Schizosaccharomyces pombe: one gene and its partners. The gene in region 2 interacts genetically with the main gene of each other region. Each region holds a gene or a part of one and is shown on either strand. Other genes may lie near its edges.

What was found.
Region 1: of upf1 (region 2) and SPOM_SPCC63.13, a mutation in one rescues a mutant of the other (synthetic rescue), as found in Schizosaccharomyces pombe (one study listed by BioGRID).
Region 3: of upf1 (region 2) and SPOM_SPAC11D3.09, a mutation in one rescues a mutant of the other (synthetic rescue), as found in Schizosaccharomyces pombe (one study listed by BioGRID).

The regions. Positions count from the first base shown.
Region 1 is NC_003421.2:859,862-863,095, forward strand, and holds SPOM_SPCC63.13 (DNAJ (Hsp40) chaperone family protein), read left to right. Parts: upstream 1-1,697; 5' UTR 1,698-1,704; coding exon 1,705-2,331; 3' UTR 2,332-2,598; downstream 2,599-3,234. Other genes in the region: proteasome core particle subunit beta 3 Pup3, read right to left, coding at 1-532; eisosome assembly protein Eis1, read left to right, coding at 2,851-3,234.
Region 2 is NC_003424.3:802,114-805,872, reverse strand, and holds the start of upf1 (ATP-dependent RNA helicase Upf1), read left to right. Parts: upstream 1-1,739; 5' UTR 1,740-1,785; coding exon 1,786-3,759. Other genes in the region: DYRK family protein kinase Pom2, read right to left, coding at 1-877. UniProt on the Schizosaccharomyces pombe protein: RNA-dependent helicase required for nonsense-mediated decay (NMD) of aberrant mRNAs containing premature stop codons and modulates the expression level of normal mRNAs. Also capable of unwinding double-stranded DNA and translocating on single-stranded DNA.
Region 3 is NC_003424.3:121,013-124,766, reverse strand, and holds SPOM_SPAC11D3.09 (agmatinase), read right to left. Parts: upstream 1,955-3,754; 5' UTR 1,923-1,954; coding exon 738-1,922; 3' UTR 651-737; downstream 1-650. Other genes in the region: SPOM_SPAC11D3.08C (amino-acid permease), read left to right, coding at 2,559-3,754.

The DNA of each region.
Region 1 (3,234 bases), on a different chromosome or scaffold from region 2:
AATCACGATCTTGGGCGTTAAGTAAAGCTTGGGAGATAGTCTCAAAGAGATCGTCAGGCTCTAAATTGGGCTCGTATACAGACTCACACATACCATAAAGTTGTTCTGTAGCGGTTCCAGAAACGATGAAATCCTCTGCAAAATCGATGCATCCAATGGAATCGAATCCACAGATAAACGGGGTATTGTCATTAGATACACCAGCAACTACTGGGAATGAGAAATAGGGACCAAATCTTTTTTCGTAAAGGGTGGAAGAAACCAAATTAGCAAATGTCTTGGGTTGAATTTGACGCTCTTCGCGGAATTTGTAAAGGTTCACTTTGTACCGAAATAACTCATAAAGCGTCTGAACATCCGTAGCAAGACCCGTCAGTCCCAAATACGTTTTGTCACCCATCGCAAACACCTTAGGAAAGTTGTTGGTCAAAGAAATTGACTGAACACCCAACCGCAAGTCCGATGCAATAGCCACGCAGTTTTTACCTGCCATGGCTACGCATGAACCACCATTATATTCCATAATACTCATTTTGTAGGATTCACTGTTTGTATGAGGAAAGGTTCTTGCTGACAAAAGAAGCACACGAATAACCACAGATGATATGTTATCGCGAGCGCACAATAACCAAATACCGTATTGGATAGGATGCGATAGTTTGATTTACCGTATGTTTAGCGATGCAAGGAGTATATCGTATTACTAGAGCCCTTCCTTTAAAAAATCACTATTGACTTTTTACGATATCCATAATAAAGAGGTATAAGAAGTGAAAATGATAGATCGTAAAGTTCACAATAAAAAGGTGTTCAGAGGTATCACTTAGACTATTGAATAATATTTAATGAGAGAAGAATAAGTCTCCCTGAAATAGCTTCCTCTAACGAGAATGTTGGAATGGCACTAGTGCTGCTACGCTTTGGCTGTGCCATACTGCCACGTCGTAGTCTGTGCATTACCGAGCGATCACATTTTAAAGGAATATCAAGCGAACTTCAATCTAACTACTTTGGCACCACCAGCGTAGCAAATATCTTCAACAACCATTTCATCAGTCTCTGCGATCTAGCAACAGCAAGATAGCTTGAGAAGGAATAACGGCGCACATGCTCGACATACCCTTGTAAAAACTCAATAAACCGATCATTTCATTTTATCAGTGTACATTAAACTGCGTTAGCTGCGCTTTAGAAGAAAGTAGTCTAAGAGAATTAAAAGTAAATAATGCCATATAGCTAACTCGATGAAGGATTGTTAGGACTGTAATCATACAACCATACAAATGCAAGAAATATCGCTATAGCGGGAAAGACAAAAATTGGGTTAAAAAAGGTATTTTTAACCGTTCTTTTGTTGTTTATTCAAAGTCATCTTTATCAAGGACTCTAAATCCAAAAGATATAAATAAACATCCGGAAGTGAAAAATTTGACTTGAGCTTCCTTTCAATCCTATTTGCCAAAGAAATTCCCATACTTTGTCTTCTTTCTATCCAACACTCCGATAAGATATCGCACATAACATCGCTAATTAGCATAACACAAATTAACCTATCGGTATCTATATAACGTGGTATAACCCGTCCCTATGCGATATACCACGTTTATTAAGTTCGTTATTCAGCACACCGAATTTTGCACCACTGCGATATTTGAGAGGCTCATATTGCTGAAATCGTGTGGTATACGTATTCCTCCAACTACCATGTTCAAAGACTACTATGCCATTCTCAACATCACCCCCAAAGCCAGTGCTGAGGAGATAAAATATGCGTATAAAAAGGCTGCTCTGGAGACGCACCCTGATAGAGTATCGCCCAGTGCTCGTGCTCGAGCCACTGAACAATTTCAGCTGGTGAACGAAGCATACTACGTCTTAAGTGACAATTCTCGACGAGCTCAGTACGATCGTGAAAGTGCCTCTTCCTCTGCTAAACCAAGACAATCGTTTTTTTCCCGCACAAACCCTCAACCCCAAAGTCAGAGTCAACAAGGAGGGCCAAGTTTTGGATTTCGCCAATCCTTTTCCGATTCGCAATTCGAGCAGGTGTTCAACGAAATGATGAATGAGACATCGACCAGAGGCATTGCCAATGCCTTTTGGACCATCGTAGGTACGTTAGCTGGTGCGGCGTTGGGATTTATCACGTTTGATGTGCCTGGTGTTCTTGTAGGCTCGGCTGCCGGTGCTAAACTTGGGCGAATTCGTGACACCCATGGAAAAAGCGCTTACAGCGTCTTTCAAGACATGCCTGCAGTAGAAAAAGCTCGCATATTAACCCAATTCCTCTCCCATCTCCTTAATTCTTCCAAGCAGTTCACCTCCTCCTAAACGCGTCTTTTTGTTTACGTGTCGCAAAATTTATTAAATCAGTTACGCGTCGCGCTTTCCAGCACTGTCCACATTTGGTCCAATCAGTCGCAGCCCGTCCCTTTCTCCCATGCATTTTCGGCTCGTCCATCAGAGCGAGTTCGTTGATGTCATGTGATGTCATGTTTTGCAATGATGATGTAACTACTTTTCTTAGTTTCTCATAATGAAAATCGCTCCTTCTTTTTACCTAACTCAGTCTTAATTTCTTGAAATATTGAAGTTTGACGAGTTTTCAAGCTTCTGTCGTTTTTCATATTATTTTAGGGACGAACAACTTTCATTGTTGCTCGACAAGATCCATCTGTCGCCTTGGCTGGTGTCTCGTAGAAAATTTACCTTTCCCGGGTTTATTGGGCTGAAACGCCGACGGATTTGATCTGTTTTCCAAAAATCTTTTTTTGTTTATTTGTTTTACTCTAAAAATAATAGAGGATTGAAAGATACATAGGCATCACAGTACTCTAATATTATTTTGAAATGAGTACTCTTGGGAACTCTACTGTTAAACCCACGAACGCGGAATTTCCCGGCCTCCATGCTATGGAGCGCTACAAACCCGCCACGTCGGAAAGCCTCTATGTGAAGGGACATTACGGTCCCCATCCTCATAAAGAACATCCTGCCGCTTATGTTGCTGCAAAAACTGGTTTTAACGCCACTTCGAGAAGACAATCGGTGCGTGAGCATCACTCCTCTCATGAGGGTTCTGCTCAACTTAACCCCGATCGTATTTTGTATATGTCTGCTGGTGCGGTTACCGCCGCTGTCCCTAATAAGGAGCACACTGATAACGTTACAACTTCTCAAACGATCCGCTATGAAACTTCCTCTCAACCTTCGCAAGAGGTTTATCATCCTCAC
Region 2 (3,759 bases):
TGTCTCTTTGGGACGTTAATTTCGTAGATTGTGATGCATGTCCGTATGAACTGCTCTGAATATTATTATTAAAATTGGATGGTTTCATTCGCGAAGCCATTCTTGCAGTATCATCAGCTCTTTTAGAATTTTTTCCGAGGGTTCTGGGTCCATTTACTATAGAAGACCGTGGTGAAGCAAATTGAGAACATTCATGGAATTTCGATTGTTGTGGATATTCATATTTGTTAGTTTCAGAAGATAATGTTTTTTTTTTGTTCATGGGATAATTCGTTCCTCCTGGGGTTTCATCTAGCTGATTAATAGTTTCTTCGTAAGCTAAAGTTTTTGTCTTGCTTAATTTGTTGAGTGGATGTCGGTTTTCGACTGTAGGGATGGTTTCATATTCTTTGCTGGAATTGGGATTAGCAAGCTTTTCTAGTACAATGCGACGGTTTTGAGATATAACTGGGTTGTCTAATTTTCCACTCTGTATGTTGTCATGAAGCGATGCATCTTGTAAACCATCCAAAGTACTCAAATTTTTATTCAGAAAGATTTCTTTTAGATCTGCAAAATGATGCAATCCTTTTTTCTGTGCCAAGTGTTCATCTTTAAAGGACTTCTCTTCTATTCCAACAGCCGATTTTTCTTCATTTTGATCGGGCTTGTTAGGCCTTTTCACACTATTTATTAATTCTGTAAGTATTTTGCTATTGTGTGAATATTGGCGTTGCGATAACAGAAATACGGGCTCTTTAAAAGTAGAATGAGCTCTTAGAGGACTGCATGTCTGTTCAGTCAGATTATTAGGAGAAAGGAAATTAGACACTGGGGCTGAGGAACTTTTACTCTCCTGTTTAGGCAGCGTTTCGCTTGTACTTATTAACCCCACCATTTATAATTGTTGTCGAAGTTGATTAACGTAAAGAAAGTAGAAAAATCAAATAATTAAAGGCACTAGCTGCTTAAACCAGGGTGGGGAAAAATGAAATGTTGTGAAACGAAAAATAATTTTAAAAGAAGGAATTAAACCCGGATTTGGAGAACAAATACTTACAAGTAAATCAACTTGTTAAACGCAGCATTCGAAGTCCCCTCTTTGAAGCCTCTTCAGTTCATGAAGAGTTTGCCGCTAAGCACCACATAAACTCCAAGAAGTTCAGACAATTAAGAGGCCTGAAATTCTTAAAATTATTTCAATTTGGATAGTTTCACACGGGCAGTTGTTGTATAGGTGGAAGTAACACACTCCTTGAAAAGTTCAAAATGGGTAACGGTACACTTGGTATGCTAACTTCCAGAGCGAGTAGATACAACTCTCATGTTAATAAATTTGTATAGAGTCCGATATTAAGTTAAAAATATCTGTTTATTACTTTTCGACAACTGTTAGTCAAAAAATTAATAGTCTTCAATATGATTGTTTACATGGTCTCAGCAACCGTTTATATAATTTTGTTTAATTCCAATAGTGAGCACCGATTTGTGTCACAATACTACAGTGCTCTACCTTATTTAGTAATCTATAGTACGACCAGCTGTTTCAAGAACGTAAATGATCATCTCGAAACTGACAAAATTTATCTACCCTGAATAGATATAATATCTTACAAGTAAATGAGTCTTGCTATTGTTAGTTTTTCCCATTAACGGCGTTTTTTGTTTACGTTTTAGGGAGCTTCCTAGCAGCACATTTTAACTCATTAAACCTCACTAAATGACTAACCTTTCTTTCTAAAAATGTGTTACAATTATTTACACTTTGCAAATTGACGGCTTAATAACATATCAAGTTGTCTTTCCATGTCTTTAGGGCTACAACCTAATAATGATATTTCATCTTTAGTTAGTTCAAAAAATATGACTTCTGAAAATGGACTAGAGCATCAATTTGAAGAATTATTAGTCGAAAAACAATATTCTGAAGAACACTGTGCCTATTGCCACATAAAGAATCCAAATTCTATATTGAAATGTTTGCATTGTAATAAATGGTTTTGTAATGTAAGAGGGAAATCTGGAGCTTCGCATATCATTAGTCACCTAGTTCGTGCTCGACATAAGCAGGTTGCTTTACATAGCCATTCTTCTCTTTCAGACACAGTACTTGAGTGTTATAATTGTGGAACGAGAAATGTGTTTCTATTAGGATTTATACCAGCAAAAGCTAAGACAGTGGTTGTTTTATTATGCCGACAACCTTGTGCTAGAGCTAGCATAGCTAAGGATATGAACTGGGACTTGACTCAATGGCAACCCATTATTTCAGATCGTCAGTTTCTTCCATGGTTGATAACTCCTCCATCCGAAGAGGAACAAAAGCTTGCAATCCCAATCACTTCACAGCAAATGGTTAGGCTTGAAGAACTTTGGCGTAAAGACCCTAATGCTAACCTCGAAGACTTGGATAAGCCCATTGAGGATGATTCATTACCTTCAGTAGAACTTCGATATAAAGATGCTCACGCGTATCAAGCAGTTCTTTCTCCGCTCATTCAAGCGGAGGCTGACTATGATAAACGACTCAAAGAATCGCAGACTCAAAAAGATGTTGTGGTTCGGTGGGATCAAGCTATCAATAAACGATATACTGCTTGGTTTCTCCTTCCCAAACTTGAATCTGGTGAAATTCGGTTGGCCATAGGAGATGAAATGAAGCTTACATATGAAGGAGAACTAAGAGCACCCTGGAGCTCCACAGGATATGTTATTAAAATTCCTAACAACGTTTCAGATGAGGTAGGTTTAGAACTGAAGCGTTCAGATAAAGTACCTATCGAATGTACTCATAATTTTTCCGTCGATTATGTTTGGAAATCTACTTCATTTGATCGAATGCAGACTGCTTTGAGGTTATTTGCTACAGACGGATCACGTCTTTCAAGCTTTTTGTATCATAAATTGCTAGGACACGATATCCCTCCTTCCTTCCTGAAACCAAAATTACCGTCTGATTTATCGGTGCCTAATCTGCCAAAATTGAATGCTAGTCAGAGCGAAGCTGTTCGTGCAGTATTAAGTAAGCCACTCTCGTTAATTCAAGGGCCGCCAGGTACTGGAAAAACTGTCACCTCAGCATCTGTAGTCTATCACCTGGCCACGATGCAATCACGCAAGCGTAAATCCCATTCTCCCGTATTAGTTTGTGCACCTTCGAATGTTGCTGTTGACCAACTTGCTGAAAAAATACATCGTACAGGACTTCGTGTCGTTCGAGTTGCCGCAAAGTCTAGAGAAGACATAGAATCATCGGTTTCCTTTTTATCTCTTCATGAGCAAATTAAAAACTATAAGTTTAATCCAGAGTTACAACGTTTATTGAAGCTACGAAGTGAAAATAACGAATTATCTATTCAGGATGAAAAAAAACTGCGTATTTTGGTTGCTGCTGCCGAAAAAGAACTATTACGTGCGGCTCATGTCATTTGTTGTACTTGTGTTGGTGCTGGTGATAGAAGGATTTCCAAGTACAAATTTCGTTCAGTACTTATTGACGAAGCTACACAGGCTTCAGAACCTGAATGCATGATTCCTTTAGTTTTAGGCGCCAAACAAGTAGTACTTGTTGGTGATCACCAACAACTGGGACCGGTTGTTATGAATAAAAAGGTTGCATTAGCTAGCCTTTCCCAATCACTTTTTGAGCGACTGATTATATTAGGAAACTCTCCTTTCAGATTAGTTGTGCAATATCGTATGCATCCCTGTCTTTCAGAATTTCCATCGAACACTTTTTATGAAGGTACTCTTCAAAATGGTGTCACTACTTCTGAGCGT
Region 3 (3,754 bases), 680 kb from region 2:
AAATGCATGTACACGCCTGCTTAGCTTCCAGAAAATGTTGCAGGTATTTGCATAAAATGCAACTATTTATGTAAAATATAATTGTCTTACAAACAACCAAGGTATATATTTGTGTGCTTTGTTTAAAGTATTTATTTATACTGGTATCACTATGGAATATTTTTCATCTTCCTTGGACCCTAATTTCTAATAATTGTCAAAAAATATATACAATAAACAAATTTTTGTAAATTGGATTTATATTATGGAATTTTTATATTTTACTGAAGCACTGATTATATTTAATGGTTAAATTTCTAATTTATATTAATTTATATGTATGTTACGGTAGTAAGATAAGAAGCAATCGAACATAGAAAACGCTGCTTTAAAATCGACATTGGTAATTTAAAAATGATAACAGTGTATTTGATGGTACGAACATTTTTTGCCAAGGATTACGATTTGATTATAAAATTTGTGCACCAACTCATTTATTCATATATGCTAAATATAATGGTAACGCAATTCCCAACAATTAAATATGCAAATTTTGTTATTTCTCTAGGTTTATACTTCACGAAGTTTTTTTTTACAGTATACTAAAAAATAAAACAAAATTCTACACTGTCCACTTACTGTTCTAAGCTTCGACACTATAGCAAATTTAATCATATGTTGAGAAATTTTCGAAATTAATATTATTTTTGATAACTTTTAAGTTGAGTTTCCAAAAACTTTACTACTCTATAACACACCTAATAGAAACGACTTTGTTGTTTAGCCTGTTCTTTGTACACAGGAGTCTTTACCATGATAGACATAACTTCAAACAAGATATCAGCAGCAGCTAATGTAGTAACTTCAGCAAAATCATAAGCAGGTGCAACCTCTACAATGTCTGCACCGACGAGTTTGATCCCATCCAAGCCGCGGAGAATGGTACGTAATTCTCTGGTGGTCCAACCTGCACTCTCAGGGGTACCGGTGGCGGGAGCATAAGCGGGATCAAGAACGTCGATGTCAATAGACAAGTAAGCTATACCATCTCCAACTCTGTCACGGATCCTCTTTATAATAGCATCAATTCCAATTGTGTCAATTTCACGAGCTTCAATAATCTCAAAACCACAATCAGCATCATTATCGTAGTCAGAGAGACCGGAGAGAGTTGTACGAATACCAGCATGAATGTTTGAATCGTTAGAAACTAATCCTTCTTGACTAGCATGGTAGAAATAAGTACCATGGTTAATGCTACCAACACTTGATTTGCCGCCTCCAAAAACCTTGGGCTTCCAGCTGTCCAAATGACTATCGAAATGAATGATAGAGACAGGTCCATATGCACGAGAGACCGATCGAAGAATTGGAAGGACAATTGTGTGGTCACCACCGAGGGTGATAACTCTAGGCAAAACGCTTCCATCTAATGCATAACCATCTTTCTCAGAATAAGATGTAGGCTTGCGAGTTAATAATTCGAAATGGCCATTCTCGATTTGTTTAATAGCAACTGCATTGTCATAACTCGTCAAAGGAATATCACCACAGTCCACAATTTTAGCCCAATTGTTGAAAGGGTTGGTCTCCATTGGAACGTTGTAACCACCATAAAGATTGAGACGACGAGATCCTTCACGGATACCGCTTGGACCAAATCTAGCACCAGGACGGTAACTAGTACCAGTGTCGAATGGTGCTCCAAGGAAGGCAATGTCGAAAGATTGACTTTTGTCGTTTAGACATTTCCAATAAGGAAGACGACCAAAAGTTGCGATTCCCGAAAAAACGGAATCAGCTTGTGTTTCACCATCTCCTGGAAAAGCATCGTCAAAGGTTTCAACTGCATTTGCACGAGATTGCTCAAAGATCTTTGGGTGCGCTTGAGCCAATTGAGCAGCACCCGCGAGAAGAATCAAAAAAAGGCTTTGAAGAGCCATTTGAATAATTGTTTGTACTGTTGAAGTTTATTGCATTTTCAGGTGAAATGAATAAGGTATTTATACTACATTTCAGATATACAAACTTCTTCAAATATCTCCAAGGAAATTTTTGAATCTGCCGTGGGGATTCACATTTCGTTAATATAAATAAGCATTCCTGTAAAAACGATTGATTTCGTCATTTGAGTTGAGCATCCACCGGAACAAACTAGTATAACGAGAGATTAGGATGGATCTTTAAGTTAGATCTAAGATATTATTGCCTATCAGAATTTCCTTGGAAATAAAGGCATGATTGTACGCTCCAAGGAAAATAAATTACGGAAGGCGAGGAAATTCGGGCTTTTATGATTAACTTTTAAAGTCTTATAAAATGGTTAAATTCATTTTTGCTTTTGAATAAAGACATATTTAGTCACAAAAGCCTCTGCAAGCATATACCCTTTCGGTGATCATAAAATTTTTGACAAACAAGCTTTGTGTGGCTATTTCGGCTTGGAGGAGTTGACATATAGATCTTTAGTCTTATTCAAAATATTTGGTATAAAATATTTACGAGCTGCTAATTTTGCTAAGACCAATTTGCTTTGAGAGTTTTCTGCTTGTAAGGACGACTCACATTCAGCATTTACAATGAGTGACATCGACAAAGAAAGCTTAAAACAAAATCAGAAGCAATGGGAAAATGAAGTTGAGTTGGGCGAAAGCAGAGAAGCTAATCAAGATGATGAGCTTCTGATGAGCCTTGGTTACAAACCAGAATTCACTAGAGAATTCTCTTACGTTAGCATTTTTGGTCAATCGTTTGGATCAATGGGTCTTTGTCCGGCTATGGCGGGTTCACTCATTTTCTCGATGAACTGTGGAGGAGGAGGCATGGTTTGGTCATGGATTATTGGATGTATATGTCTGATTCCAGTAAGTATATCATTGGGCGAACTGGCGTCTTCTATGCCTACTTCTGGAGGTCTTTATTTTTGGATTTTTACCCTAGCATCACCATCGTCAAGAGCATTTCTCTGCTGGGTTTGTGGTTACGTGTCAGTGCTTGGCTACGCTACGATTTATGCTTCAACAGTGTACTCTGCATCATCTATGGTACAGGCACTAGCTGTGATAGGTAGTCCTTCTTATTCACCTACAAAATATGAACAGTACGGAATTTACGCAGCGTTGCTTTTCGTGATTTCTGCCATGACTGCAATTCCCTCTCGTGTTATCGCGAAGGTGAACATCATTAATATTACCTTCCAATTCCTTGTATCCATTATTCTTATTATTGCCCTTGCCGCAGGATCTGACTCTACTACTAGAAATTCTGGAAGTTTTATATTCGGTGATTTTACAAATTATTCTGGATGGTCAAACATGGGATGGGCATTTATACTTTCATTCACTACTCCTGTGTGGGTTGTAAGCGGATTCGAATCTAGCGCCGCTGTTGCTGAAGAATCAACGAATGCTGCCAAAGCAGCTCCCTTTGCTATGATTTCCAGTCTTGGTGTGGCTACCATTCTTGGATGGTGCATCGTTATCACCGTTGTAGCTACTATGGGTCACGATTTTAATGCCATTCTAGGTTCCTCTTTAGGCCAGCCTGTAGCTCAAGTACTGGTTAACAATGTTGGAAATAAGGGAGCTTTAGGAATTTTCTCTTTGCTGGTCATTGCCCTTTGTTTGAACTGCATTTCGTTACTGATTGCTGCATCTAGAGAAGTATTTGCTTTCTGCAGAGACGGCGGGATTCCAGGAAGTAGATACTTACGTCTTTTGACTAAACAGAAAGTTCCCTTAAATGCAATTCTTTTAGTGCTACTCTATAGCCTTTT